4 linked regions of the Arabidopsis thaliana genome follow. The protein of the gene in region 2 interacts with the protein of the main gene of each other region in a pairwise test. Each region holds a gene or a part of one and is shown on either strand. Other genes may lie near its edges.

The links.
Region 1: the proteins of AT1G13520 (region 2) and DL1C interact in a two-hybrid assay, tested with the Arabidopsis thaliana proteins (one large-scale study listed by BioGRID).
Region 3: the proteins of AT1G13520 (region 2) and HSP23.6-MITO interact in a two-hybrid assay, tested with the Arabidopsis thaliana proteins (one large-scale study listed by BioGRID).
Region 4: the proteins of AT1G13520 (region 2) and AT5G37670 interact in a two-hybrid assay, tested with the Arabidopsis thaliana proteins (one large-scale study listed by BioGRID).

What each region holds. Positions count from the first base shown.
Region 1 is NC_003070.9:5,105,238-5,115,032, forward strand, and holds DL1C (DYNAMIN-like 1C), read right to left. Parts: upstream 6,510-9,795; 5' UTR 6,234-6,509; coding exon 6,102-6,233; intron 5,983-6,101; coding exon 5,919-5,982; intron 5,700-5,918; coding exon 5,592-5,699; intron 5,501-5,591; coding exon 5,399-5,500; intron 5,198-5,398; coding exon 5,147-5,197; intron 5,040-5,146; coding exon 4,978-5,039; intron 4,831-4,977; coding exon 4,740-4,830; intron 4,649-4,739; coding exon 4,584-4,648; intron 4,489-4,583; coding exon 4,294-4,488; intron 4,200-4,293; coding exon 4,080-4,199; intron 3,995-4,079; coding exon 3,924-3,994; intron 3,604-3,923; coding exon 3,378-3,603; intron 3,285-3,377; coding exon 3,234-3,284; intron 3,141-3,233; coding exon 2,900-3,140; intron 2,822-2,899; coding exon 2,682-2,821; intron 2,588-2,681; coding exon 2,462-2,587; 3' UTR 2,179-2,461; downstream 1-2,178. Other genes in the region: AT1G14820 (Sec14p-like phosphatidylinositol transfer family protein), read right to left, coding at 1-161, 250-360, 446-563, 651-687, 926-1,184, 1,485-1,556; MAP70-4 (microtubule-associated proteins 70-4), read right to left, coding at 7,178-7,217, 7,305-7,492, 7,588-8,115, 8,195-8,266, 8,375-8,521, 8,626-8,781, 8,888-9,058, 9,165-9,335 and 2 more. UniProt on the Arabidopsis thaliana protein: Microtubule-associated force-producing protein that is targeted to the growing edges of the cell plate during cytokinesis. Also plays a major role in plasma membrane maintenance during pollen maturation. Has a GTPase activity.
Region 2 is NC_003070.9:4,629,138-4,636,330, forward strand, and holds AT1G13520 (hypothetical protein (DUF1262)), read right to left. Parts: upstream 4,163-7,193; 5' UTR 4,087-4,162; coding exon 3,767-4,086; intron 3,564-3,766; coding exon 2,720-3,563; 3' UTR 2,496-2,719; downstream 1-2,495. Other genes in the region: AT1G13500 (hypothetical protein (DUF1262)), read right to left, coding at 1-32; AT1G13510 (hypothetical protein (DUF1262)), read right to left, coding at 322-1,144, 1,231-1,550; AT1G13530 (hypothetical protein (DUF1262)), read right to left, coding at 4,603-5,440, 5,570-5,681, 5,785-5,992; AT1G13540 (hypothetical protein (DUF1262)), read right to left, coding at 6,337-7,159.
Region 3 is NC_003075.7:12,913,305-12,919,984, reverse strand, and holds HSP23.6-MITO (mitochondrion-localized small heat shock protein 23.6), read right to left. Parts: upstream 3,060-6,680; 5' UTR 2,897-3,059; coding exon 2,698-2,896; intron 2,561-2,697; coding exon 2,127-2,560; 3' UTR 1,875-2,126; downstream 1-1,874. Other genes in the region: AT4G25210 (DNA-binding storekeeper protein-related transcriptional regulator), read right to left, coding at 433-1,539; QWRF7 (QWRF motif protein (DUF566)), read left to right, coding at 3,984-4,676, 4,754-4,990, 5,082-5,171, 5,273-5,383, 5,529-5,585; AT4G25180 (RNA polymerase III RPC4), read left to right, coding at 6,078-6,104, 6,221-6,285, 6,380-6,443.
Region 4 is NC_003076.8:14,965,004-14,971,035, reverse strand, and holds AT5G37670 (HSP20-like chaperones superfamily protein), read right to left. Parts: upstream 2,279-6,032; 5' UTR 2,002-2,278; coding exon 1,588-2,001; 3' UTR 1,445-1,587; downstream 1-1,444. Other genes in the region: ARLA1A (ADP-ribosylation factor-like A1A), read left to right, coding at 451-532, 633-787, 887-1,048, 1,122-1,239. UniProt on the Arabidopsis thaliana protein: Possesses chaperone activity.

The sequences.
Region 1 (9,795 bases), 480 kb from region 2:
TAAACATTATTGTTTGTTAGAGTTACTGGAGCAGCCTGAGGAAGAAGAACATCTTGGATTGCTGTGAGCTTAGCTCGGCCACCGTACTCTTCCGGTAAAGCATCTGCTCCGATCTCCTCCTCGAATTTTCTCTGTTCTTCTCCATCCGTAACTATCACAATCTATGCAACAGCAAAATCATAATTTATGTGATTCGTTGCTCAAGAACCATTAGAGATAGATACATCAAGAGGAGATTAAAGATCAAACCTTTTCCTGAGTTGCTTTCTCTAGAAAACGGCAGACGAATTTCCAAACGGTCACGAAGAATCCGGGCATATGCAAAATGTAGCATTTTGCAAGGCGTTCCGGGTAGTAAGACTAGAGAAACATTTTCCAAATTTAATAGACAGGACTTCTTTTTGTGTGATAACTATATTGTTTCAGGAAGAAGGGAGATGCTTACTTGTAAGAATTGAAAGCCAGTGATCAATCCACGAGCATCAAGGTTCTTGTATGTAATGTTTGCCAGATCAATAACGGCTACTAATTTCTCACCTCCAACTTCTTTGCCATTGTTGCCACTGAAACATAAAAACCAAAAAGCTTGTCTCACAACCAACTAACCGGAAGATTATTGAAGTGTTTTGGTTTCAATAATGTGTAAACACCTTGCGATTGTTTTGTCTAGCGCATAAACAACAAACTCTGCAACATCAAACAGATAAAAGATTAGTTCATAGATAATTATCGCAAGAATCAACTCAAGGAAAACACATAGATGGACTCAAAAAACTTCATTCATTTGAAGTCAAATGAAACTACTCAATAATTAGAGAACCAGGAAAGAAGCTGATCAGTTCTATGAATACAAAAGTCACTGAAAGTCAAGGGACAGATTATTTCCAACGAAAGTAAAGGTCAGAAGCAAGTGAGAGGTGATTACTCTTGAAGTTAGCTGGATCCTTAGAAGCAAAATGCTTAGAGGTTATGACAAGCACCAATGGGTGTCCGGATTTGGTCGGACCCTGAAGACAGACCTTTCTGAATTCCAATTCATCCTGCACTTCTGACTCAGGGATGAATCCAGTTGGAGGAACCATGGAGGCTCTCCATTTTTGCCAATCTACAAACATCTTTGCTGCCTTGACTGGGTCCATTGATCTTGCCACCAGGAACCTCATCAATGTTGGTTTGTCATATCCCTTTTCAGAGGAAACAACAACAACAAAAACCATTGATGAGATTTTCTGATTATGGATTCACTTTTACTAAACTGTCTCTACTGTTAGGGTTTCTGATGGGAGGCTCAAACCTAATCAGACAAACCACTATGACGAGAATGGAGACAGAGTTTTAACAGTGTAGCCCATATAAAACCCATCAAAATCAAATGACAGATATTTCTCATTTTCTAACGAGACATTGTCAGTGAAACTCATGAAACGGCCAAAAGATGCAAGCTTTGTAAACTGTAATGAAACTAAAGCGTCGAATTAGATTACCTCAGTAGAAGAAGAGAGTTTCTCGACCGATTTTCTCAACTGGGTCAAGGCAAGTTCTTGGCTTTCCTCCATGATCTTTGGCTCTCTCAGATCCTAAAAAAATCTCACAGAGAAATAAAGAGAGAGCCTTTTGTGGTCCGTACAGACGCACGATAAAGTAAGTTGAAAAAGTAAAGAGCTTTGATGTTGACAAAGACCCAGAAGCCACAGGAAGAAGAAACAGACAAAGTATTGGGTACTTGTCTCTACGGTAAGTGGATAGAAATAACTCAATAAGCCTTTCCCCAACTCGCTGCAATTAATGGGCAGCTGGAAGTTGAAGCTCTCTCTTTGACTTTTGTTTCTACTACTTTGACGATTTAAAACAGCTGTGATGATTACATTGCTTTTTAACTCCTAAATCCCGAATCTTAAGGCTTACTTAAAGTTCTTTTAATCATTTTTCTGATCAACCATGTGAAACAGGCTTTGTTAACGGTTATACATTTAGCTGCTTGTTCTTAATTGAGCATTGGAAATTCAGTTCTAACGATTTTTATTGTTTGTGACAGAAGAAAAGTCCTTTAGGTTAATAAGTTGTTCTATCTACATGAGATGTACATTAAATTTTCAAGAAAGATTAGCTTCTTTGTCATCTATTTGTTTTTAAACTTGAACTGGATCCAAATACAGTAATGGCACAAGTGGAGACCAATTGAATAAAAATCAAAGATTAGCTTCCTTTTTGTCTAATGTAAAGAGTGCGACTTCAAAATATGTCTTAACTGTTCTAAAAACCAGTATTCAAGAATCGAAGATACACACCAAAAAAAAGTGGGAAAGTTGTGATAGAAATTAGCGACCCAAGAAAACATGAGTAGTCGCGTGTATGTTTGTGTAGACTGGAAGTTAGAACTCCAAACATATCTATTATAATGCAGTGTGCCCACACGAACAAAGAAATTAACAATATAAAGAATATGTCTTAGCAAACCCCCTTACTTCCAAGCCACTGCATCGATGTCGTCTCTAGCTTGTTTGTAAAGCTCTAGCCGTTTAGCTAAGGTTCCTCTTCGTTCCATCAGCTGTGGGTCTTCGTCCAACATAGCACCCAGCTTCTCCTTCTGCACCATCATTTTTCTTAAATTTATTCTCGATTTGGGCATGGCATTTTCTACAAGGTAACAAAATAATCCAAAGGGTAATAATATAGTTTACCTCTTTCCTGCCAACTTGAGCGTAGAAGAAGTTGAGAAGCGATCTCTTAGCTTCTCTAACTTGGCAGTAAACGACAGCTTTGGGAAGAGAGTTTCTCAATGTGTCGCAGACCATGTTTATGTATGCACTCACGTTGGATCCTGAATTATCCAAAGTCAACAAACAAAGACTTGATAATGTATCATTTCTAAGTAAAGGGAGGCGAGAGAGACACGTACCGATCTTTCTGAAGTGATTATCGGAGTAGGGGTCTGCGTTTGGTGCTGGGGCATTCCTTGGGTTTGGTTTCTCTTTCTCGGGTTCAAGATGGAGTTTCCTGAAGAACTCAACCGTGAGGTAGCTAGATTCCATATCCACCAGACGCAAAACCGTTTTCCTGCTTTCGTCTCTGAATCTTTCAAGAGCTTCATTTGCAGCAGCTGCTATATCGCTTGCTAGAGTCGGGAAACGCTTCAGTTCCTGAAAAAAACAGCAATGGTATGTTAGGACTAAAACAGAGCGTAAAGAGCTAGGAAGAGTTCTCAAAACCAAAGGCATCTTGTCAGTTCTTACCTCTGTTTCTGAAATTGACTTTCTGACCAGCTCCTTCAATACGAAATGCACCTAGGAAATATCAAACAGCAATCAAGAATATAGTCAATTTACTAAAACTTAAGTCTCAAAAGTAATGCAATCTAATAAATTTTGGAAGCATACTGCATCGACAGTGGCTTCAGCTGGTCCTTTGAAATAGCTTATGGATCCATCAATGAGCCTTCTGTATCCTTGTTCAGGAGCAATAAGATGCGGCTGATAACCATCTGCTTCTGAAACAACCTTCTGAACATTTTTGGTAGACAGATGTCGATCAAAGGGAAGTTTCTTTAAGGCTGCTGGTAATTGATGGTCGAAAACTCCATAAATTCGGTCTCCACCAGGTCGTCTGATACAAACAACATAATGACTGTCAGAAGACCAACTTTACCGGACGTACATTGTGAAATTATGTGAAGCATTTTCTGGCAAACATCTATGAAAAGGTCATTGATGTAATTTTTTTACTAAAACTGCACATCCTTAGTCTGGAAACTGACTAGAAGGTAAGCAAAATTCATTATAGAGCAGCACATTACTCTGGAAACGACACTATCTCTTAAAAAAATTCATAGACTCCAAGTTGATCATCACAGTCGCAATGTAATAGTACACCAACAAGAAGTTATAAGCTTTACGAATAAGAAGTAGAATAACTAAATCACTTACCCTCCATCCAAGTGCTCCTTAAAGACACGATCAAATGCCCGGCAGAGTTCCAAAATTGTGTAAAGTTGGGCCTGAAATCATATATTTAGTGAGTGACTAACCATACGATTCTGATGCAACTCTGAATTCCAATTACTTAATGGTTTAAAATCTTACTCCTGAATCTACTGCAATGGGTCTCCCAATCCTATCAAGTTCTGCATTTATCTCATCGATGCTTTTGTTGATCAAAGCAACAATACTGGGGATTTTCTGCCTGATAACAGTCTCTAAGTGCTAATAGAGAGGAAAACAAAGAAGGAAGAAAGTCAAAGCTAAGCATTCAAGCTTTAATTTAAACGAGATCTGTGCAAGTAAATCCAAAGGGTACCTGAGACAAGAGTTTTGCTAGATATTCTGATCCCATTCTACTGGCTAAGTGCCCGTATTCAGGGCTTGTTTCAAAATATTCTTGCTCTTTTCTACGTGCAGCAATCATATCGACTCTCTTATTAATATCAGCTTGTGAACGATTCACAATTCCAACCCAGGGATGTTGCAAACGGTATGACCTTCCCTCAAGAACCTTCATCAAATAGGTAGAGGAGGTGTCACAATATATTAAACAAGTAACAGAATTAGTTGACACCCCAAGGTGCAGAAATCAAGAAAGACGCTTACATCTAGACAATCTGTTCCTTTATCCATGATATCAAGCTTGGTTGCAACACCAAAAGTCCTTTCGCCTACAGAAATATATTAGAAGGTTAAGAAAATGTTGTGGAGTGTAAAAAGTCACTACTTACCAGTTATTAGGAAACTACATTTAGGTCGTACCTGTAGGATCAACTTCTCTAGCAAGTTTTATAGCATCTGAGGTAGCAATATCTTGATTTGCTGGAGAAATAGCCAATATGATGCAATTTGGCTGCAGTTAAAAGATTTTATGGATAAGCTTCCAGAGTTGACATTATAGTGAGTGATGATGATCAAATGCATTCTTCTGTTCAACTTGGTTGGAAAAGTTGAAAAGATTGCCGAAACCGTCTCAGTAATAGCTTAGAGCAAGACTGACCTTTTCAACATAAGACCGGACCATATTTTCAATGTCTTGGACAATACTTTCCGGTTGTCCATCTACACGAATAATATTCATATCAGTGACTAGTTTAAGCACAAGATTCATATCAGTAACTAGTTTAAGCACAAGCTAAGCTACTGGATAAAAAATAGTAAACTCTTACCTACAGCGACCTTGGTCAAACCCGGAAGATCTATGAGCGTCAGATTAACAACTGTAGAGAAAAGAGTAGAGTGAGAAATCAAAGTCACATGGAAGAGGTTAGCAAAATTGGAATCTTCAAATCTAATTGTACTACTCGTTATCTCATTACAGCTGGTATCAAACTATCAATAATATAGGAAATTTACGGTGTTGGTTTCTGAACTAACTACAATAGGAATGCATAACAGGAAATGTGGTCTTAAGCACAAACCATTAGGAGAATATATGCTCAGCTGAATTGGAATGTTTGAGATTTGTTTTGACTTCCCAGTAATACGATCAGTTTCATCCTCAATTTCTTTCCGCACAGCAGCTGAAAAGAGAATAACACTTAGATTAGCCCGACATGCCTTTGTCGATTTCACTGTTTCCAGCAATTAGCGTGAAAGATTCAATCAAACTACCAAAATCAGCAAATCTCTTCTTAGGAGCATGAAGAAACTCAGCGTACTCAGTTGTCCCGTCTTCAGTCTTATGAAGTTGCAACACCAATGGCCTCCTTGTAACGATACCTGATAAAATCAAATGGTATCAATTTAGATGGTCTCCTTCTTCAGTCTCATGTTTTTCGAAGTAGTCAAAATGTTCATGTAATGCTCTCAAGATCACAGAGCTTCGCTAAATTGTTTGAAATCGAAGCAACTAATAAGAGCACGAAATTCCGAAAACCTAATTTCAATTCCAAACATCGAAGACACTAGACAAAATTGCTTAACGAGAGGTAAAATTACCAGATCCACGAGGCAGAAAATCTCTTCCCACAACACTTTCTAGAACTGAAGATTTTCCGGAACTCTGATCCACAATATCAACCAAACAAAAATGATAAATCAGAAACGTGGAGATTGAAGAGGCGAGAAGTGAGATCGGATCTTAACGTAGAAATGTGTATATTCAATAGAAAGAGATCAAACCTGGCCACCAACGACAGCGACGGTTGGGAGAGCTTCCCAAAGCGACATTCCTTCACCGCCATGATCTCCGAGGACAGTACACGCCCTCTGGATTTTGTTTATCAGACCTATCAAACTTTTCATCGTCGCCATGTTTCCTGGAACGTATCACAGATCCAGAAAATCTCTCACCGACGCTCAGATCTAGATCTAACGAAACGAATATAGTTATCGGAGGATGGATTTGAAACGTCCGGTGAGTTGTTACTCTCTCGCGGTAGCAGGAGGGATTGATGAATCTGGGAGAAAAGAGGAAAGAACCCAATGGAGCAGAGAACGGTAATGGGAAAAACAATTTCAAACCAAAAAAGTAGGACTACTTGCTCAAATATATAATACTTTTGGACCGAAAGTGAAAATATATCAAATCCCACGTCGCTAAACGCGTACCGGTCAATGATACGGAACCGGTTCAATTCATGTGGTTATGTTCTTTTTTTCTTTCTTTTTTACTCAAAAGTCAAAACTACTAATTATCATTAAGACCTGATTACATTACAAATGTACTTTTTTCCCAATAAAGTCTGACTACAAATGTTGTAAATATCCTTCTCAAATCTCAATGATGGTGTTCTTATAACTCATGTGGTGTTCATTAACTCTATCTCTCTCTCTTTTTGTATATAGCTTTTTTGGGTTTTACCAGTTCTTTTTTTGAACACCAAGAAGAGTTCTTTTAAAGATAAAAAATTAGGCTACCAATATAATCGAGGTTAATAAGAAAATTAACTAAGAGGAGAGAGTGACACACACAAAACAAGAGAGTAAAAAAGCTTAAAATGTTGAACAAAACAACCCTACCTCTACTACTGCAGTACTACTATACATAACGCAACAGAGTAAGAAATATATCAGCTAAGTGAAGTCAATGTCTCCCTTTACCTTGAATGTTGGAATGCTTTAGAGAAACACACATCGAATCAATCAGGTACTTTACACGATTATCTCTTTCGGCTTTTGAATCCCTTCTCTCAATTTGGTACAAGAACCTTAAGGCAAGCCACAGAGACCAACCAGTGATTGATCGAATCAGTTTGTCACTGTGTGCTCCTCGTCATCCCGATTCGTCCAGACACTCTACCAAATGATAAAATACATAAACAATAATGACATCTAAAGGTAATAATAAAGCTTATTGTAGTTGATATGATAATACATTAATACCTTCCAGAAAGTAGCTGAGCTGTGTTTCCCTTTGAGACCGAGAGACGTCTGGTCTTACTATCTTGTTGTCCTTTATCAACAACACGCATTGCAGCAACTTCTTTCCCCATTACAGCTACTTCTCTTCGCATCTTCTTTGCCTCAACGTCCATCGCCTTTGTTAATGTTTCAACCTTCTTGGCCAACATCTAAATATACACAACCCATATCTTTAGACTTATATTATACAACATTTCATATAAAGGCGGCAAAGAACAGGAAAAAAGGCCAAACACTAGCAAACCTCAATCGCTTCGTCCTTGTCTCTCAGGCTCTGATCTTTTTCATGCGCCGCTTTTCTTAATGTTATGACCTCTTTCTGCAGCAGATCGTACAAGACACCTGGGACGCTATCATTATTTGTTGCCTTGTCAGCTGATTCTTCTTCCCCTTTTATTGAGCTAGGCGATTCGCCTCTGCTAGTTCCTTCAGAAGACTTGTGGTTCAAAGGAAAATTCGATCTCGGTCCATTTATTAGCACTTTGCTTCTATCCAATGATCTGGTGCCCCCATCAAATGATCTTGATGTTCCTTTCGCATGCTTCAATACAGTGCTTGCACTAGCAGTCAATGATCTCAACTGAGAACTTGGTGTTCTCTTAATCAGCGAGCCATTTGATGTAATTTTTGGACTTGTTTCAGCTCCACCAAGGGATTGTCTTCGAGTAGGCCCGTTGCTCGAACTTCTACCAACAGATGTGCCTCTGCTGCTGCTGCTCGTAGGCCCCTTTAAACTCTCTTCTAACACTCTAAGCCGCAGTAAAAATTTCTCCTAAAAATAAGTAAAAGCAGCAATTCCTCAGTTAGGAGATTAAAAAAAATAAGATGGTGTCCCGCAGCTATGATTCTACCTTCAGCTGAGCTTCAGATTTTGCAGCTCGGTCAGCTATGGCAAGTTTGTCGCGTAGTTGTTGCATTTCTCCCTGTCCAAACATAACGGTGGTGGCAATAGTATAAGTTAATCTCCGTGAATATGAATCACAATTTGAAGCAGCAAGAGAATTTAAATATTAATATGTATCAGCAATGACCTGCAAAAATCTACGTTCTTCAAGCCACTGCCTTACAGGCATCACTTTGTCATTAGAATCTTTCCATTCGTTAGCTACAACAGTAGCAACTCTGTTTGCATTTACCTTCGCACGGGCCAATTCCCGTTCAAGGATTTTCCTCTCTTCCTAAGGAAAACACAAAACACCACAATTACGATCAGTACGAGACCAAAACACTAACAAGAAAAACAGTAAGTTATTGAGGTACTATAGAAGCATATGAAATATACATTCATTTCTTGGAATTTCCTTTGGTAATCTCTCACTGCGTTTGCGGCTGCACCACCAGCAAGAACAGCTTCTTCTAATTCCCGAACACTCTGCATAAGCTTTTCAACTTCTGCAACCTTCTGTCTGTGCATCTTGTCTATAATTCTATTCTCTTCCTATTTTAACCAATGTATCAACAAATAAGGCCACCACAGTGGTAAGAAAAGGAAGAGATACCCTATTCTGGTGTTCCAATATGTAAAAGAAATGATATAGACATACCTGACAAATTTCAATCTGTTTCATCAATTCTTGGTTCTTATTCTGGAGATCATCAACCATTGAAGCCTTTGCCAATGCAGACTGAACTGTCCTTTCAGCGTCAAGCAAAGCTGCTTCCTTTGATTTGGTTAGGCGGTCCAATGATTTATTGTCGTCTTGAAGTTTAGCAATCTACCAATCAAAACATGTAAACCCATATGAGAAAGCTGTTAAATGTCCCGTAAGTTGTTGAATCGAGCTATACAAAGGTAATTCTGGTTCAAAGGAAGGAAAATACTTCTTGTCTCGAAAGTTTCAGTTCAGCTTCTAAAGGGGCAAGAATAGCTTCAATTGGAGGCATGTCATCATCCTTTTGAGCAGCATGAACCCTACGAAGAGAAGCTTCTGCTGCAAACTGAGCTGCCATGGAAGCCTTCTTTTCTTCATTTATCTTCTTGATTTCAAGGTTCTGTGACAACATACAACATCATTATATATAGAATCAATATAAATAAGCGATCAAAGAACAAAGGAGATATTAGAAGCATACTTTACTCTCAAGAAGATTTTCAATAAGTTTGAGTTTTTCCGCCATCTTTCCCAACTCTTCAGTGAGCTTCAGCACTCAAATAAAATAGCAGAGAAGTCAGTACACAGAGAGTGTAAAGAGAGAAACTTTATATGACATAATTCCAAACAAGTAAAACCAAGCTCAGGCTACATGACTACATATTCTATAAATAGGAATATCACAATGCCACTCAAGCTAAATACTTTGTTTATGTAATGGAAGCTTAAAGTGTAAGGGCATAAACCTCTTCAACAGCCTTCTCTCTTTGTCGTTCAGACAACCTCAAAGCTTTGATTTCAGCTTGTCCTTCAGATAATTCCCTATCCTTATCTGTATAACCAAGTCATTGTTTCAAACA
Region 2 (7,193 bases):
TTGTATTCAGACAAACGCTTTGTCACATACATCTCTCCTTGATTCTTTGTTGCTCAACATGTCATCGTTTATATAAGAGAAAAGATCATAAGAACGTGCAAGCTATTGTTTATAAGTATAATTGTTTCTTTGAACCAATCTGAAGTTTGACAGAATCTTCTGTGGATGAGTTCTTAGAAGACATAGAAAACTCAATATTTTATAGAAAAGCTTAAGATAATAACCAAATACTACAATTGTACGTAGATTAATCACACTGACCAATGGAAGTTCACGTCATTATCATTAAGAAAGCATTTGCAGATTCGTTGCGTGATAAGCTTAATCCCATTTGGTTTTGAGCTTATCGACGTGTGTAAACTCATATGTTAAGACCAAACTCTCATCCATTCTCTTCAAGACAAAGCACTCTACCAGAACATAACAATGACGATTCTTCAACAAGCTACCATCTGTTGATTTCTCCAATCTCTTAGCTACCATTGATCGCTCATTGTCGCCTTTGCCAGTCCACCCGAATCTCTCTTCTTCCCATTTCATCCTCTCAACAACAACTGATCCTAAACCAATCTTTTTGTCTCCAACCGCAAACCAGACAAACCCATTTGCTTCCACACCTCTTGAAATCTCTTGTCCATCAACCTTAACAACTTCAGTATCTAACTCTACATCAACTAAAACATCATAGTTTCGGCTTTTATCCTTCTCATAAGAGAAAACTTCTTCCCATCTTTGTTCAAGAGTCATGCTGTAGTACATCGATCTCTTGATCTGATCCTCTACGTCTCTTTCCTTCACAAATATAAAAGGGACGTACCACTTCCCAACCACAACACTCATACCAAGACCGGGAAGCTCGGTACGAAGCTCTGTGTTTAGTCCTTTTGCATCATCTTTCAGTTCAAAGTCTTGGAACCTTGAGTATTCGACTGTCCACTTATTTTTCTTAAGGAACCATGGTGAGACTCCGTCAGGCGCAACAGATGTCGCGTAGTAGTAGCGCGAGGATGGTTTCTTTTGGTGGATCATGAATTGTTGATACATGTCATAAGGATCTAGCTGTTTTGGTTTGGCTTCAGGAACATAACTAGAGCAAAAGCAGCACGGGACTCTGTCTTCCTCTTTCCCACTAGCAGGCGCTTCTCTGCAACCAAAACAAATTTAGAAACTTTTTAGGTTATATAAGATGAAAGATGCAAGATTTCAGATCTTCAAGATTCAAAGTCATACCCTGAATGCTTCCCCACTCGTTTGATAGCGTAGTAACAGTTTGAAGATAGAGGCTTATTGAGAACAGGAATGAAGACAACTGGGTCACAAGTAGCGTCATCTTCTCCAGCATTGAATCTGGCTGCTAGCTTAAGATTTTGCGGCAAGGGCAAACCACTTAGATACGAGTCCACAACCAAACACAAGCCGAAGCAACATGGACGTGTCTGTGAGTGTTGGTCTTGTATTACCAAAATTCCAGAGTTTGGACCCTCAGGAGGAGGCTGTCTTAGCTCTGCTGGATTTCTCTGGTACTCTGACAAACACCTCGTAACATACATTTCCACTGATTTTTGTAAGAGTAAACCAAATCGAGTGATCGTTTATATCTAGACTAGGAGAAAAACTTGGATCATATTTTATAGACTCAACAAGTTTTCAGAACACAAGGTGACTTGACTTTTTTGGATGGCTCGTTGTAAGAAACTTGACTGGATCTCCATAAAGATCTTGGCCTACCCTATTGTCACCTCTCATCAAGTATCTATAAAATAGTTTAAACAAAGTCTTTGCCTCTCTGTATCATGACACTACTCTGCATGCATCATGAAGATTCTGTCCACACCTTTTGCATCAGTCAAGTATTCAACGCTCCAACCATTCTAACGCAATCAATTTCTAAGGCACCCTCAAACCAAAAAATTCACAAGTCAAGTAACTCTACCATCTCAAACCTTTAAGAAATTGAGATAAGAGAGAGCAAAAGTTACAAAATATAGTTGTGGTAGAGAAGCAACAAGAATCCTACAAGACAAGACTCAAATCACTAGAAAAAATAATCTCACTAGCGGCTCAATCAACATTGTTTTTTAAGACTTTTCCGAGATCTTTGACTTAGCTTTTATGGAAGTCCTTTTTGGCAGTTTTTAAATTCACATCACATTGTTTTTAAATTCTATCACGTAACTTAAGTTTTTATCTACTTTGAGTTCCAAATTATGACCATTAACTTCATAATTGTTCATTTGAGCAATCTGCAGAACAGAGGTTTTGTATTGAAACAGAGCCCCCAAAAAACAGAACTTGAAGCAGAATTTAAGAGACATCATAAAATTAAATAAATTATGGAGATATGAGAATCAAATTGGAAAAGCTCTCAATCTCACTTTCTCTTCAACTTATAAACATGTCTAAACTCGTATGTGAAGACTTTTAAATTGGTAGTAGAATCAAAACACGTTATCAGCAACTTTCAAAGAACTTGATTTATATTAAAAAAATGGAGGGCCATAGTTGTTGGAATGAGGGTTACAAGTTTACAATATTAAAAAAAAAACATTTAAGAAGAATGATCAAATAAATGATTCATAATTGAAATTTACGTGAATTTAAATGCGAACTTTTTTTTTTTTTTAATTACTACATGAAATTGCATAAAACTTATTCATTAAATTAATTATTGAACCAAAAGATGACACACAAAGAAACTGAACAAAGATGAATAAAAAACTCAATCCCACTTGCTCTTTAACTTATCAACATGCGTAAACTCATATGTCAACACCAAACTCCCATCCATTCTCTTCAATTCGAAGCTCTCTATCAATACCAAACATCGATAACTCTTCCAATGCGATGACCCGCCTTCAAATCTCTCTGATCTCTTAATGTTAGATCTTTCACCGTTGTTTAACCATCCGAACCTTTCCTCTTCCCATTTCATCCTCTCCACGACAACAGACCCAAGACCTATCTTCTTGTCTTGTCTCTCATCCCCTAAAACACTAAACCAAACAAATCCACCACCACTTGTCTCTCTAGAAATAGTTTCTTGTCCCTCAAGCTTTACCACTTGTGTTTCTACGTCAACATCAACTACAACCTCTCCTCCTTTTTGGTTGTAGTTAACGTTTACGCATGAGTAAACCTCTTCCCATCTTTGTTTAAGCGTCATGCTGTAATAAGGTGAGCTCTTAATCTGATCTTTTGCATCTCTTTCTTTCACAAATATGAAAGGAACATACCATTTCCCTACCACAACACTTGTATTCATATCGTTGGGAAGCTTGGAACGAAGCGTAGTGTTGATCCCTTTTGCATCATCTGTCAAACCAAAGTCTTGGGAATTCGAATACTCAACGGTCCAGTACTTTCTCTTAAGGAACTCTGGTGGTATCCCATTAGGAGCAACTGAAGTGGCAGTGTAATAGCCTGATGATGGTTTACGTTGATGGACCTCGAACTGTTGATATATATCATAAGGATCTGCTTCTTGTGGCTTAACTTCAGGAACATAGCTGAAGCAAAAGCAGCAGGGGACTCTGTCTTCTTCCTTTGCACTCGCCGAAGCTCCTCTGCAATCCAAAATTAGTTTTTTTTTAATGAATACCATTTGTGCAAGTCAGGTCAAAAGGGGTGGCCAATCCGGTCAAACCGAAACCATCCCAAGAAAACCAAACCCAAAAGCAAGTATCTCGAACCATGCATGACATAAATTGATTAAAACCTCAAAAAAACAAAACAAAGTCAAGAAAGTAATTAAGATTTTTGGCCATACCCTGATTGCTTCCCACGTCGTTTAATGACATAATAACGGTTCGAATAATAAGGCTGATCAAGAACCGGAATGAACAGAACCTGGTCATGGTAACTGCGCCTGTCATTACCAGTTCCGGTTCTGTAAGTCACAGTCAGCTTTGCGTTCTGTGGGAACGGTAAGCCTTTGAGTTCACCATCGTAGCAATTTCCAAAGCAACAAGTCGGTTTTGACTCTTCGTCTTGAATCACAAGTACGCCGGAGTTTGGACCTTCCGGCAACGATCGTGTCAAGTCCGACGAGTTTCTCTGGTATTCGGAGAGATGCCTTGTAACATACATCTTGAATTCAGAATCTTGATCAGGTTATTGATTAGAAGAGATATGATATGTTTATATATTGCACCATGTATTGAGGATAACGCGGTAAGCAAATTTTACAAGTTATCGTTTGAAGACTTTTCAAATTTTTTTACTTTATGGTTCAATTCAAACTTTAGAATTCCAAAGTTATGACCTTGACCTGGTTTCACAAACCTATCATGGAGAATCAATCAAACAAATTCTATATTTTCTTTATATTATGATTGACCTAACTATAAGGATCTGCTTCTTGTGACTTAGCTTCAGGAAGAAACTGAAGCAAAAGAAACAGGGGACTCTGTCTTACTCTTTGGCACTAGCTAATGCTTTTCTACAAAATAATTACAAAACTTTTGAGGTTTTTTTCCTTTTAGAGTATACACCCTTTTTGTGCAAGTTAGCTTCACCACATAACACATGAACTTGCATTAACCTTTCAATAAAATGAACACACCATAAATTGAACACATAACACACAAAGAAGCTGAAATAAAGTCAATCCCACTTACTCTTCAACTTATCAACATGTCTAAACTCATACGTCAATACCAAACTCCCATCAGTTTTCTTCAGTTCAAAGGTCTCTACCAGTACATAGCATCTATAACTCTTCCATTGTGGTCCACCGCCTTCAAATTTCTCAGTTCTCTTAATGCTAGACTTTAGTTCATTGCCTTTCTTCGACCACCCAAACCTCTCTTCTTCCCATTTCATCCTCTCCAAGACCACAGACCCAATACCTATCTTCTGAGTCTCTGAGACACCAAACCAGACAACTCCATCTGAATTCACACCTTTTGTCTCTCTTCCAATATTTTCTCCTTCAAGCTTAACCACTTCTGTTTCTACCTCCACATCAACTATAACCTCGCAATTTTTATTGTCAACGTTTTCGCAGAAGAAAACCTCTTCAAATCTTTGGTGAAGTGTCATACTATAATACATCGATTTCTTCATCTGATCTTTAGCATCTCCTTCCTTTACAAACAAAAACGGAACATACCATTTTCCAACTACTACACTCTTACCGAAATCGGGAAGCTCATAGCGCAGCTTTGCATCAACTACACCCTTTGCATCATCAATCAAACCATAGTCTTGGGAAGCAGAGAAAGGAACGGTCCAGCCTTTTCTCCTCAGGAACCGAGGTGGTATTCCATCTGAAGCAACAGATGTAGCGAAAAACTTGCGAGTTGATGAGCCTCTTTGATGTATCTCAAATTGTTGGTATATGTCAAAAGGATCAAGAAGCCTTGGCGTAGCATTAGAGACATAAGTAAAACAAAGGCAACAAGAAACTTTGTCCTCTTCTTTTGCACTAACACATGCTTCTCTGCAATACCAATCAAAGTTTTAAAAGATGTGAATTTAGGCCGCTAAACTATTAATCTTGGCTTAATTAAAACTAAAACGATAAACTTTGATATCTACATAACATGAGAAAGATTCAATAGAATCATACCCTGCATGTTTCCCTCTTCGCCTTATAACGTAGTAAAGATTGGAAGAAGGAGGCTGGTGAAGAACGGGGATGAACGCGACCGAGTCAAGCAAGACAATTCTGTCATCTCCATCTATGGTGAAATCAAAGCTTAGATAATAAACAGAGAAGAAACAGAAACAGAGTAAAGTAAAATGATTGACAGAAAGTTAGGAGTGAAATGACTAGTAACTAACGTCCGATTTGGTATTTAACGGTGACTCTTGTGTTCTGAGGAAACGGCAAACCATTGAGATCACAACCAAAGCATTTGCCAAAACAGCATGTAGGCTGTGATTCTTCGTCTTGAATCACCAATACGCCGGAGTTTGGACCTTCCGTTGGAAGGAAAGTAAGCTCCGATGGGTTTCTCTGGTACTCGGACAAACGCTTTGTTACATACATCTCTCCTTGATTCTTTGTTACTCAAGATCTAACCTGTCATCGTTTATATAAAACAAAGGATCATAAGAACGTGCAAGGAAGTTTACTAAGCTATTGTTTATAAATATAATCTGAGGTTTGACTTAAACATTTGTCAGAATCTCCTGTGGATGAGTACTAACAAGTAAGAAGACAAACAAACTCTATATTTTATTCTTTCTTCACCCAAAAAGATTGAAGATAATATCAAAACACAATACACGGAAAAAACCGAATTGAAAATGGCTATAGATAAATCACACTGACCAATGGATTCATGTCATTGAGATTGAGAAAGTTTTTGCAGATTTGGTTGCGTGATAAGCTTAATCCCATTTGGTTTTGAGCTTATCTACATGTGTAAACTCATATGTTAAGACCAAACTCTCATCCATTCTCTTCAAGACAAAGCTCTCTATCAGAACATAACAATGATAATGCTTCCAAAGGCTACCATCTGTTGATTTCTCCAATCTCTTAACTGTCATTGATCGCTCATTGTCGCCTTTGCCTGTCCACCCGAATCTCTCTTCTTCCCATTTCATCCTCTCAACAACAACTGATCCTAAACCGATCTTTTTGTCTCCAACCCCAAACCAGACAAACCCATTTGCTTCCAGACCTCTTTCAATCATTTGTCCCTCAAGCTTAACAACTTCTGTTTCTACTTCTACATCAACGACAACATCACGGTTCTCGCTTTTGTCGTTCTCATCAGAAAAAAGCTCTTTCCATCTTTGTTCAAGAGTCATGCTGTAATACATCGAATTCTTGATCTGATCCTTTACCTCTCTTTCTTTCACGAATATGAAAGGGACATACCACTTCCCAACCACAGTGCTCATACCAAGAAGAGGAAGCTCAGTACGAAGCTCTGTGATGAGTCCTTTTGCATCATCTCTCAGTTCAAAGTCTTGGAACCTCGAGTATTCAACCGTCCACTCTTTTTTCCTCAGAAACCATGGTGGGACCCCGTCAGGAGCGACAGATGTTGCGTAGTAACAACGCGAGGAAGGCTCCTTTTGATGGATCTTGAATTGTTGGTACATGTCAAAAGGATCTAACTGTTTTGGTTTGGCTTCAGGAACAAAACTAGAGCAAAAGCAGCAGGAGACTATATCGTCCTCTTTTGCACTTCCAGACGCTTCCCTGCAATGCAACCAAAATTTTATAAACTTTTTCA
Region 3 (6,680 bases), on a different chromosome or scaffold from region 2:
GGAGAGCGGTAGAAACTCGATCTACATGATTCTGCAGAACATTAACTCGGTGCAGGTATCATTCTAGTATCTTATCAATATGCAAATTGCAAACACATATGAGTTTGCCTCTTAACTGTGCAGACCGGTACCAGCTGAACTTCACAAGGAATGCATATGATAACACACATTGACTAGTCGTTTCACAGCTTAAGTCGTTTCACAGCTTTTAACATAAAAGAACTAATAGGGCTATTCCATCTTCTGTCTAATATCATAGAAACCGAACAAGAGTAATAAATAAAAGGGTCATATACCCAAACCAAACATCCAACATAGGGGCATAAAGAAAATACGAAAAAAGACTTACATAAGGATTAGTTTCACAAGCTAAAATGCACAATACAAAAAAGACTCAAAGATGCATACTAAAAAAGTAAAAAGACAAACCGCTCAAGATTCATAGGCTTTGAATATCATCTTTGCAGTTTCATTCACGAGTCCAGACCTCTGCAAACATAGCTCAAACTGCTTAGCCTTAAGCTTCTTCCATTTCTCCTCCACTTCTCTCTTCTCAGCTCCATCCGCAACCTTTGCCCAAACCGCAGTTAATGTGGATTCATCCAAACCACAAGAACTCCCATTATCTGCATTGAGGAACGATGCAATCTCTTTACCAATGGAGAGACCTGTGTTCACAACCTTTGCCTCTGTTCTTTCCGGTTTCTTCGCTTCTTCTTGTTGTTTCTTGGGAGTAGAGTGAGCTACTAACTTCATCTCTTTCGGTGCAGGTGTTCCTCCAACTTTCTTCCTTGATGATTTACCAGTAACCAAAACACCATTGCTTCCCCAAATCTTTCTGGACAATTCAAAACCTTTTTGCTCAAGATCTTTAGCAAACTCAATATCATCTTCAGTCTTTCCCTTCTTAAGAGAATTCTTCACAGCATTATTAAACTTCTTCTTCAACCTCTGAAGTTTAGTAACAATTTGGTTTTTGGTAGCATCGAAATCGATCAGTTTCTTCACATAAATGCAAAAAGCATCAATATCCTCATAAGGATCTCCTTTGGTAGATGTGAAATCAATAATACCTTGAAGCAAAGCGATTTCATCCGTCTCACTGAACAATCTCTGAAACATCTTCTTAGCATCCTCTGAAGAAATCTTCTTAACCTCATCATTAGTTATCGGCTTCTTCACATGCTCAGTGTCCGATGTCTTCTGCTTCTTAATAGCTTCAGGAGCAGCTTCCTTCAAAGGACGCTTAGCCGTTGAACTCTCAGGTACAGTCGCGGCAGATCCAGACGTCTCTGGAATTGGTTTAGTCCCAACAGGCTTCAGCTTGATCGTCTTAGCAGGCTCGGACTCGGGCTCGGGCCCAGAACTGGACTCCGATTCAGATTCGCCTTCAGAGTCAGATTCAGGCTTTTGCGAAGACTCGACTTTCTTCGGAACTTCAGCAGAAGATTCAGATTCTTCTCCAGATGAGCCAGATTCTTCTTCTTCACTGGAAACAGGAGGGCTTTCGACCACTTCCTCCGCCTTCTTCGGTGCCATCGAACAAACAGTTACGAGAGAGAGAGGAGACAGAGATCTGCGGTTCTATTTTCCCGTCGCCGTCGATTTGCTTTGCTCTTAGGTTTAGGTTAATGTCGAGGTTCTGTTTTTTGTTTTTTGCCCTACTTTTGTTTTTTTAATAAAAGTCGATCGATTCATTCAAGTTGGGCTGTCCAACGCGCTATTCTACTCGAACGGGCCTAACACTTTTACGCGTTATTAATAGACCAGTCCGTCGACAACTTACGCAGCCTCAGAATTCGTCTTAAAGTCTTCCTAGTTCCTAGTCTACAGAAAATTTTAAACCCAAATACGTTCCATAAGCTCCAGTCTCATAACCACAAAGGCATGTAAACCGACCGAGTTAGCTAAAAGAATACACGATTAGGAACTTATTTAATTAGTGCTTTGATTTGGAATGCAAATTTTGGTTTAAGCAAGACAAAAAACCACCGTCTCAAGAAAGAAACATATAACCTTTTAGTCTTTAGAGACTACATGACTCAACATCGACCGTGCCAAACTACACACACTTCTTATTCAAAGACCTATCAACAAAACTAGAACAGAAAAAAACGTCGACGTTTTTAGTTGATCTCGATCTGACGAACATCATTTCTCTCTTGTTCTTTCATCTTCGGGATCACAACTTTCAACACTCCGTTCTTCATCTCCGCCTTAATCTCATCGATCTTGTAAATCTTATCCGGTAATCCAATCCTGCTTGTGAATCTCCGATTACCGCTCTCTCCTTCCTCGCCACCATCTTCCTCGTTTTTTCCTTCTCCTCTAATCACCAGAGTGTCCTGCTCCAAAGCCAGCTTCACATCCTCTCTGCTCAGCCCAGGCATGTCGATTCTCAGGTACAGAGCATCGTCTTTCTCTTTTATATCCCAACCACGACGAGCTCCTGAAGCTCCCATGCCACGAGTAGCTGATAACAGAGGATTCTCCATGAACTGGTCCATCAGATTCAGCACTTGACTAACGCTCCTCGTCGGCGAAAACGGATCAAACACATCTACACAAAGACACAATCAATCATGTCAAGATTTTGAGCTCAGTGTAAGCTAATACCTGTTTTCTTACTAGATTTTCGCTACGTTAACAACAGAGAGACATAGATCTGGAGGAAAAGCGAAACAATTGGTTTGTTACCTGAGAAGAAATCACCACGGCGGCGAGGAACAGAGCGGCGATATAAATCAACGCCGTCTCCATTTTCGCCGTCGTCGTCGTAGCTCCTAACGGCGTTGGTGTTGAAGAGGCGAGAGGAAACAGCTGGACGAAGAACACTACGGGAACGTGGAGCGATGGAGGATGATAGGAGTCTCTTAAGAGCGAGAGCAGATGCCATTTGTAGAGAAACAGGAAGCTTTGTTGAGAAAGTTTTAACAGTGAGTTTAGTATTTATCTGAGAACTGTGTGCGACGAAACTGGAGACAGGGGAGGACTATATACAGGAGTTAAGTGTTGAAGGTGGGATATTGTCAGTGAGTGAATGTTCTGGAGAAGTGGGGAGATTGATATTTCTCTGGATGTTTCTAGAGATCCGTGGCTCCCAAGCTAAGTGAAACAAATATAAATTGTCTTGTTTATTAACGGGCTACGGCCCATCGGTATTAGGCCTGTTTTAGTAGATTTATGGTCAACAAGTCAAATGACCCTAGAACATGGTACATGAATGAAAAGGACCAAAATGTGGACAGAAATCAACCAAAGGCCGAGGCGGCCACCAACCACCGAACGTGGGAAGGTCTGGTTCGGGCAAACATTCGAAAAGACCAAGAAGACTCGGATAAACAATTAAAAAAATCAGATATTGGAGAAGGCAAATATATATTGGTGTTGAGGTCAAGACTTAGAGTTTTGACGTTATTTAAAAAAAAATATTTTTGGGTAAAGACTAAAGAGTTTGACGCTATCTTGAGGTTTATTTATTCAACGTAGACTATATACTATGGGGCCGTTCTGAATTGGACCTTTTAAGTTTTGATTTTATTAAAACGCCATGTTGTTTAGTCGAGAGATAAACAAAAGACGTGTCTCTAGCTAAGCTGACCTTCATATATGCTTTGACATAATACATTAATTATAATCTCTCTTTTTGGTGTGTGTAAAAAATACACTCTATATTTTATTATGTAGACACACTACATGCAGAAGTGTTCTTACCTCTGCCTCTACGTGCTGTCAACTCCTACAGATCTTCAAGTACCCCAACCGTTATCTAACAGATTAAATATAATATACCCCTAACTATATTATATATCACAATTGTTCAAACCAGTGTATATAGACTAGACGATTCCTTGAACCATATAATTCCAGCTTTACTATAAGAGTCTTAAGGACAGGGGCAAGTGAGTCGAGAAACGAAACCGAATATAAGTCTTGTATGATATAGTCATATAGTTAACCGTCGTCATATATTAAAGAAGAAAATGGCAACCACCGGTCGGAGACTCCGTCCTCCATCGCCCAATAATAACCGGAGCCGGACTATAAGCTCTTCAATCTCTCTCCCAGTGTCCTTAAACGCCTCGTTATCGTCTTCTACTTCTTCATCTTCTTCCTCTTCGCCTTCCAATTCAAGCAAACGAGTGATGATAACCAGATCACAGTCCACAACAAGATCCTCCAGACCCATCGGATCATCCGACTCTAAATCCGGCGAGAACATAATCCCGGCGAGAAACAGCGCATCAAGATCTCAAGAGATAAACAACGGTAGAAGCAGAGAGTCGTTTGCTCGGTACTTGGAGCAACGTACGCGTGGTAGTCCTCGTAGTAACGCTTCATCGAGAGGGGTAAAGCCGGGAGCCAGCTCACCATCGGCGTGGGCGTTGTCTCCTGGAAGACTTTCGACTATGAAGACGCCTCTGTCCAGCTCAGCTCCGACGACTTCAATGTGCATGACGCCGCCTGAGTCACCCGTAAGCAAGGCCAAGATAAGAAGCGGTGGCGGTGGAGCGGTGGCAGGAGTTTTGAAGTACTTCATGGCGCAGAAGAAAGTATCTCCGGTACAAGAGGAGGATTATCACCGGTTTAGGATTTTTCAAAACAGATTACTTCAATGGAGGTTTGTTAACGCAAGAACTGAAGCCACTATGGCAAACCTTAAGATCAACGTTGAGGTACAAAAACTATATGAAAAATATTTAAATTTGTATCTTATAAATATCTATTAATTTGTTTCTGTGAATGGTTTCAGGATCAGTTGTTTTGGGTTTGGCTTAGGATATACAAAATGAGGAACTACGTTGTAGAAAATTTGATTGAAATTCAAAGGCTCCGTCAAGATATCAAAGTACGTGAAGTTCTCAGCCTCCAAATGCCTTTACTTAATGAGTGGTCAAAAATAGACGCAAAAAACTCCGAAGCGTTGAGCAAGCTAACTCGAAAACTCCATGCTTTGTCTGTCCGATTACCCCTCGTACATGGTGCCACGGTTAGAATTTCTCTCTTTGGGAAACCAATTTGTTTATAAACATTTTGTGTATTTGTCAAGAAAGCAGAAACTAATAATTTGGAAGTTACAGATAGATATGGTGTCGATACATGAAGAAATGGTCATAGCTATAGAAGTCATGGACGAGATCGAAGACGTCATCATCAAGTTTCTCCCACGAGTAAGTCCACTTTATCTATACAGATCATTTTCCTAACTTTTTTTGTATAGATACATGTAAAAGAAATTAATTTAAGAATGTCTTGGGTGATTAAATATCAGCAGGTTGAAATAATCCTCTATGAGCTGACAGAATTGATCGGCATGTTCAATCAAGAATTGTTATATTTTGAAGAAATGGACGAGAGCCTTTTATCCATTCCTCTCTTCACGGTAATTCATTATCTCCTAATTTCATTATATATATGTGACCGGTCCGGTAGTTTTATCTATAACTTGAATGGTTTGTTTTTTATTGGTTCAATTTGGATGTGGAAGCTCCATAGGCTAAAATGGTGAGATAATTTTCTTTTAACAGGCAAAGGAGAGTAGCTTGAGGGTCCATATTCTCCAAAAGACTGAAGAACAGAGATAATGTTTCTCTAATAACTCAAACGTTAGGACATGTAATTAAAATGTTAATCACATTGCACATTTTGCAAACTGGATTGTTGTTGATGCCAGAACTCGCTATCTAATTCAAGACGCAGTCTTCTACTTCTAGATATATACGATTGAAGCCATGTGTTAATGTGTATTACAAATTTCGTTATGCAATTTCTACATACACCTTAATGAAAATATACTTATACAAAAAATTAGACATGAAATCTAAAAATGTCTATCCAATCACATATACACACGTAGAAGTGTTTACTTCTCACAAAGAATGTATAAAAATAATAATTGTAATTTCCAAAGCTATAAATATAAAGATTGACTTAACTTACTAAAAGCGCTATTAAGTCATTTGGTTATCCAGCTATTCAGTACTACAGAGGTCTCGGGTTCGAAGCCATCTTTTTCCTAAATCCCCAATTTTTTTTTTTTCCCTCGTTTCCGAATCTTTTACCGGCGAGACTCTGCCATGGATTCAGGCGAACAAAAGTCTAAGGTAAACCTCTACTGATTCTATCTTCTTGTTCTCCTTCCTAATTTCATCTCAAATCTCGAAAAATTTGCCGCGAAAATTGCGTTTCACTGACCTTACTCCGTTCCATTTCTCGTCAGCGGAGGTTCCAACCAAATCCTCCGAGGCCTTCTCGCCGTCTTCCGATCGCTCCAACCTCAAACACGTAATTCGTTCTTCCTCGATCATTTCTTGTTTATGCTTGTAGAAATCTTTAACTGCTTATACATGTAAAAGCTTTAAATTTTCTCTAAACACAGCGAAGCTGAGGAGGATGAAGAGAATATAAAAGCATCTCGCCAATTTGACAGACGTATCGTCGGCGTATGTAGAGAAGCTTCTCAGTTCTCAAATCTTGCTCTCTAGTTTCTTTCCTTATTTAATTTTGTCGAAAATTCGTTAACAGTTTAATCGTAACTTCCCTAATTTCACTTAAAATAATCAAAATCTTATACATTAGATTATGATATATGCGAAATACCAAAACGGTGTGCTTTCTTCATCGTAGCTAACAAGGAATTTTCTTTTTGGTTCTGACCTTTACTAGTTTTGAATCTGCCT
Region 4 (6,032 bases), on a different chromosome or scaffold from region 2:
TGTTTTGCTGATTAAGTTGGTTTATTAGTTGTAGTCCTTTTGTTCTTCCATTGAAGTAGTTTAGAGTTATAGTTCTGGGTTTAGTAAAAACGTTGCCAAAAACCAATTTTTCTCACAAAGAGTCAACAATTATTGTTTCAAAATCTCAAACTTCTCTTGAGTTTCTTGGGCTGTATCTTTTATTGTTACATTATATGAATTGGTTCGCTGAGAAATCTACCGTTATTTCTATGTTCTTGTGTATTAATTCTCTTGACTTGATTGTCATTTTAATCCATTTATAGTAGTGATGCTTTATGTGATGTTATAGAATGGTTAAAAGAGTAGGTTATAGTTGGTTAGTAATGTATTGTTGTTTTTGGTTATACTTATGTTTTTAGTGTATAGCAGAATCACGTTTTGGTAACACTTAGATTTTGATTCTGTGTTTGCTTATATTTGTTGTGTCAGCTTGTTTTTCAAACAAGAGATGGAGCTGTCACTCGTTGGACTTCAAAATGCTGGGAAGACTTCTCTTGTCAATGCCATTGCTGTGAGTAGAAATTTCATCAGAGGTTTTAGTCGATAAATAGTATTCTCGAACAAATCTAATCTTACGCGTTTCACTTCTTGTTTTCTTTGGATTTGTCAAGACTGGAGGTTACAGTGAAGATATGATACCAACTGTAGGATTTAACATGAGGAAAGTTACAAAAGGAAATGTTACAATAAAGATTTGGGATCTTGGAGGGCAACGAAGGTTTCGTACCATGTGGGAACGTTACTGTCGCGGTGTTTCCGCCATTGTGTACATCCTCTTAAAACTTCTTCGATATGTTTTGAACATCCCATGTTACTATTTGGTTAATAATCTTTGATGGTATATGTTGCTGTGGTAATATTGCAGATATGTGATTGATGCTGCAGATCGAGATAGTGTACCGATATCAAGAAGCGAATTGAATGATCTGCTAACGAAACCGTCTTTAAATGGCATTCCTCTTCTGATTCTTGGCAACAAAATCGATAAGTCTGAAGCTCTCTCTAAGCAAGCTTTGGTTGATCAACTGTAAGTTTCTTATTCAAAGTCCATACAAAACAATCTGGATTCGAGTATATGACTTTGGATTGTTTTGATGCAGAGGGCTTGAATCTGTAACAGACAGAGAGGTTTGCTGTTACATGATCTCGTGTAAGGACTCGATAAACATTGATGCGGTCATCGATTGGCTCATTAAGCACTCGAGAACTGCCACATAAACAGACACAACAAGCTCATTGGTCTAGAGGAAAACAAAGCTTGTTTTTGGTTTCTTGATGTTGTTTTATTTGTTGAGAATCAATCAGATGTAAATCATCAGCTTTTGGTTTCTTCTTGGTTTAAATCTTGTTTTACAATTCTTCAATGTTCAAATACTTTCGGTTCATGAAAATCAAAACCCGGTTTAATCCGGTTAAAACTTCAAAGCTTGCTAGTAATATTAACATCTTATTGGATTCCTAAATATTACATACTGGCATACTGCAATTCATTAGATTTATGAAATAACAAAGTCCAATTTTATTCATCTTAAGAAAACCAAAAACCGGTTTAACCCGGTTTAGACATCAAAGCTTGCTAGTAATATTAACATTCCTAACTTTAGACGATTTCGATGAAGTGTCCTTAGGAACAACAACTGTAAGAACACCATTCTCCACGTAAGCTTTAACTTGATCAACTTTCACATTCTCCGGCAACTCAATCCGCCGCAAAAACTCACTTCCACCACCGGAAAAAGCTTCTCTCTCCGCCACGTGCCACACCAAATTCTCCTTCTTCTCTTCCTTTATTCCTTCTCCTCTTATACTCAAAACATTCCCTTCTTCAATCTGTACTTTGATGTCTTCTTTGTTGTAACCAGGAACGTTGATCTTGAAGATATGAGAGTTGTTTGATTCCATCCAATCAATCAGAGCCGTTGATCTTGACCATTCTTGGAATCTTCTAAATGGATACAAGAATATTCCTCTGTCTGCCATATTCTTCTATCTTTCTTCTTTAGCTAAGCTTGTTTTCTAGAGATGTGTATATATGTTTGAGTGGAAAGTATTTTATACAGATTACAGAAGTCGAGACAGTTCTTCGTTATCTTGTTTCTTCTTCATTTTCTCTGACTCCAGAACTTTGGAGAAGCCCAGGGGGTTGTTATATGCTACGGTGCAGTGTATATTGATATGATGGATATCGATTGATTCTAACCGTTCGATGCGATTCTAGGATTTTTGTGATTATTTGGGCCTTTTATCTTTATCTGTTGTCCCTTTTTTTTGGTATATATATATATACTCTTCAATTTTAAATCTTGAAAAGTATTATATGTATAATATAAAAAATATATTATATTTAGATGTTCTCAAGTATAGAAAAATTAATATAAATTTCAAAAATAATTCATATACTCAAGATTTCATGAATAGCAACATATATTGATTTCAATCCTTTCTTTCTTTAGCTCTATAACATGATTTTTTGTTGTAATTTGTTTCCAGCTTTGCACGATGATGGAGAAACCGGTTAACATCAAGTTAAGAGTAACATTCTATGCAATCACGAAAATTTCACAACCCGAACAAAACTAAGTACAGTTGACGACTAGATATAAAACGAGTCATATCAGTCGTGAAAATGGAGAATTCGCAAGACTTAGACCAAATAAAGTGAAATGACTCTCATTGCCTACCTTGTGGCTAGTAGTCTCTTAAACCGGTGCGATACGTGTTTGGAGCTATGTGCGATTCATGTTAGGAACTTTGTGCTTCATTCATAACTTTTACATTTGAACCAATTGTTCTGTTGATGGATCCAAAATCTTTGGACCTTCCAAGTTATATATAAGAATTTTAATAGTTGTATTCACTAGTATAGTATAATAGATGAGTTATGGCTTAGACTTATTTATAGTTAGATCACTTTTGGATCTAGGTAGATTTTGACTGTCTTAGACTCTATATTTTTTGATAGATACGAAACCCACGGAACAACTTTGATTCGAATATTTTCATTTTCCATTGGGCAGAATAAGAATTCAAACAAAAGGTTAAACCCTAATTTGGGAGTTGAAGACTTGAAGTGAAGAGATTGGTGATGAATAGTTAATGATTTTTAAAAATTTTATAATATAAAGTATGATTTTCAAATTTGCTAACACATGTATCAAATACTTTGAGTGAAAGAGATAATCGACGTGTTAAATCTAATTTTATTAATATTTTTTATTTTTTTTAAAAAAGAAATTCTTGTATATAGACGTGTTAAATCTAATTTTATTAATATTTTTTATTTTTTTTAAAAAAGAAATTCTTGTAAAATCAAGTACTACTACTAATTATGCTAAAACGATGGCTCTCTCTCTCTCTGAGGGCGATTTTTTGCCTAACTCACACCGTTTCAATTCTCCTCGCCGGAGCAGTTCTCCGACCATCATAATCTGTCTCTTTTCACGGTTTTATGACGGCGGTTACTTTCTGCCAATCAGTTTCCATGGCAGTTATCATTGCCCTTCACTTTCGGAGGGTAACTACCCACACAAACCGCCATGGATACAAACTTATATATACTTCAATTCGCTCCTTCTTCTCCCTTTTCTGCAATTCACCATTTCTCAAACACTGTCATCCACAATCATGAGTGACAGACTTCGTAAATCGGTTCAGGATTTGAACTTGGGTATTGATGATGAACCGGTGGCTCTAACTTCAGAATTTTGTTCACAGGCTGCATATGTGAACCGTTTCTCCTTGGTGGTAACAACTGTGAATCCACGCAAACAGAACCTCCGTGCCTTGATAGGACAAATGCCACGAGTTTGGGGCTTTCCTGATTCGTGCGTCGGGCGGATTATTGACAAAGGCAGAGTTCAATTCAAGTTCCAGTCTGAGGAAGCGATGAATCTCGTGCTCCGTCGTGGACCGTGGTCATTCAACGATTGGATGCTTTCGATTCATCGGTGGTATCCAAACCTTAGCGAGGCTGAAATGAAGATCATTCCTTTTTGGGTACAAATCACCGGTATTCCTCTCCTTTTCCTTACCAATGCAATGGCTAGATGTGTTGGAAATAGATTAGGACATGTTGCTGATGTTGACTTTGATGAGAACTCAAACCATACGGGTTTTGTGCGAGTTCGAATCAATTGGAATTTGGATGATCCTTTACGCTTCCAAAGAAATTTCCAATTTGCTGATGGTGAAAACACTGTGATAAAGTTTCGTTTTGAGCGTTTAAGGAATTTCTGTACCAAATGTGGCTCCCTTAAGCATGACATCAAGGCATGCACCCTTTCCTTTGATAATGAAGATCCGGTGGAGACAAGTGATGATGATGATGCTGATGATGATGACGATCATCACGACGACAACAAAGAACATGACATAAGCGACACTGATACTCTTCAGACAGTGGATCCAGCGACTCTTATTCCCGGCCTTCAATCTTCGCTTTCAAAGGGGAATCAACGCCAGGTACAAAAACTTTCAGATGGTTATTCGGTTCCATGCGTCATTGAGGACACAGACCTCACAGTTGAAAGACTCCGCTACCTTCACGCCAAACTTGCAGGAGTTAAAACTGACGCACCGGTTGAGAAAGATCTGCTCCTTGAGTCCTCTGACAATGCACAAAATGAGTTTGTCTTCATGAAGAGAAAGAGGGTTCGATTTGAAGAAATGTACCAACAGGTGGAAGCTGCAGACGAAATGGGCGTTCTGAGTCAACTTTGCAAGAAAGGAAGAAAGACTGAATCTGCAGGATCGTGTTCGATACATGATGGACGTGACGGAGGCGCGGGGGGCCCGGTACCCCTAAGGGATCCAATATGAGGATCATCTCATGGAACTGTCAGGGCATCGGTATGCCGCTGACTCAATCACGGTTGTTTCGCTTATTCCGTATGTATAACTATGATATTTTATTTTTAGTTGAAACCTTAAACCAGTGTGATAAAGTATGTAAACTAGCATATGATTTAGGCTTCCCTAATGTAATAACTCAGCCCCCTAATGGAAGGAGTGGTGGCTTAGCTCTTATGTGGAAAAACAATGTCTCTTTATCCTTGATTTCTCAGGATGAAAGACTCATTGATTCTCATGTAACATTTAATAACAAGAGCTTCTACTTGTCTTGTGTGTATGGTCACCCTACTCAATCTGAACGTCATCAACTATGGCAAACTCTTGAAAATATCTCAGATAATCGAAATGCTGAATGGTTGCTAGTGGGTGACTTCAATGAGATACTTTCGAACGCTGAAAAAATTGGTGGTCCCATGAGAGAGGAATGGACTTTTAGAAATTTCAGAAACATGGTTTCTCATTGTGACATTGAAGATATGAGATCAAAAGGAGATAGATTCAGTTGGGTAGGGGAAAGACATACACACACAGTCAAATGTTGTCTTGACAGAGTTTTTATTAATTCAGCCTGGACTGCAACATTTCCATATGCTGAAACAGAATTCCTGGACTTCACGGGCTCTGACCACAAACCGGTCCTAGTTCACTTCAACGAGTCATTTCCCCGTCGATCAAAGCTTTTCCGTTTTGATAACCGCTTAATTGACATACCGACATTCAAACGTATTGTTCAAACAAGCTGGAGGACAAACTGGAATTCACGTTCTACACCTATCACGGAACGGATCAGTAGTTGTCGACAAGCCATGGCAAGACTGAAACACGTTTCTAATTTAAACTCAGAACAACGAATCAAAAAACTTCAAAGCAGCCTAAACAGAGCAATGGAGAGTACAAGGAGGGTTGAAAGACAACTAATTCCACAACTTCAAGAGTCACTAGCGAAGGCCTTTAGTGACGAAGAGATTTATTGGAAGCAGAAGAGTTGTAATCAATGGATGAAGGAAGGCGATCAAAACACCGGCTATTTTCATGCATGTACAAAAACAAGATATTCTCAAAATCGAGTGAACACAATCATGGACGATCAAGGAAGGATGTTCACAGGAGATAAAGAAATTGGAAACCACGCTCAGGACTTTTTTACAAATATCTTTAGC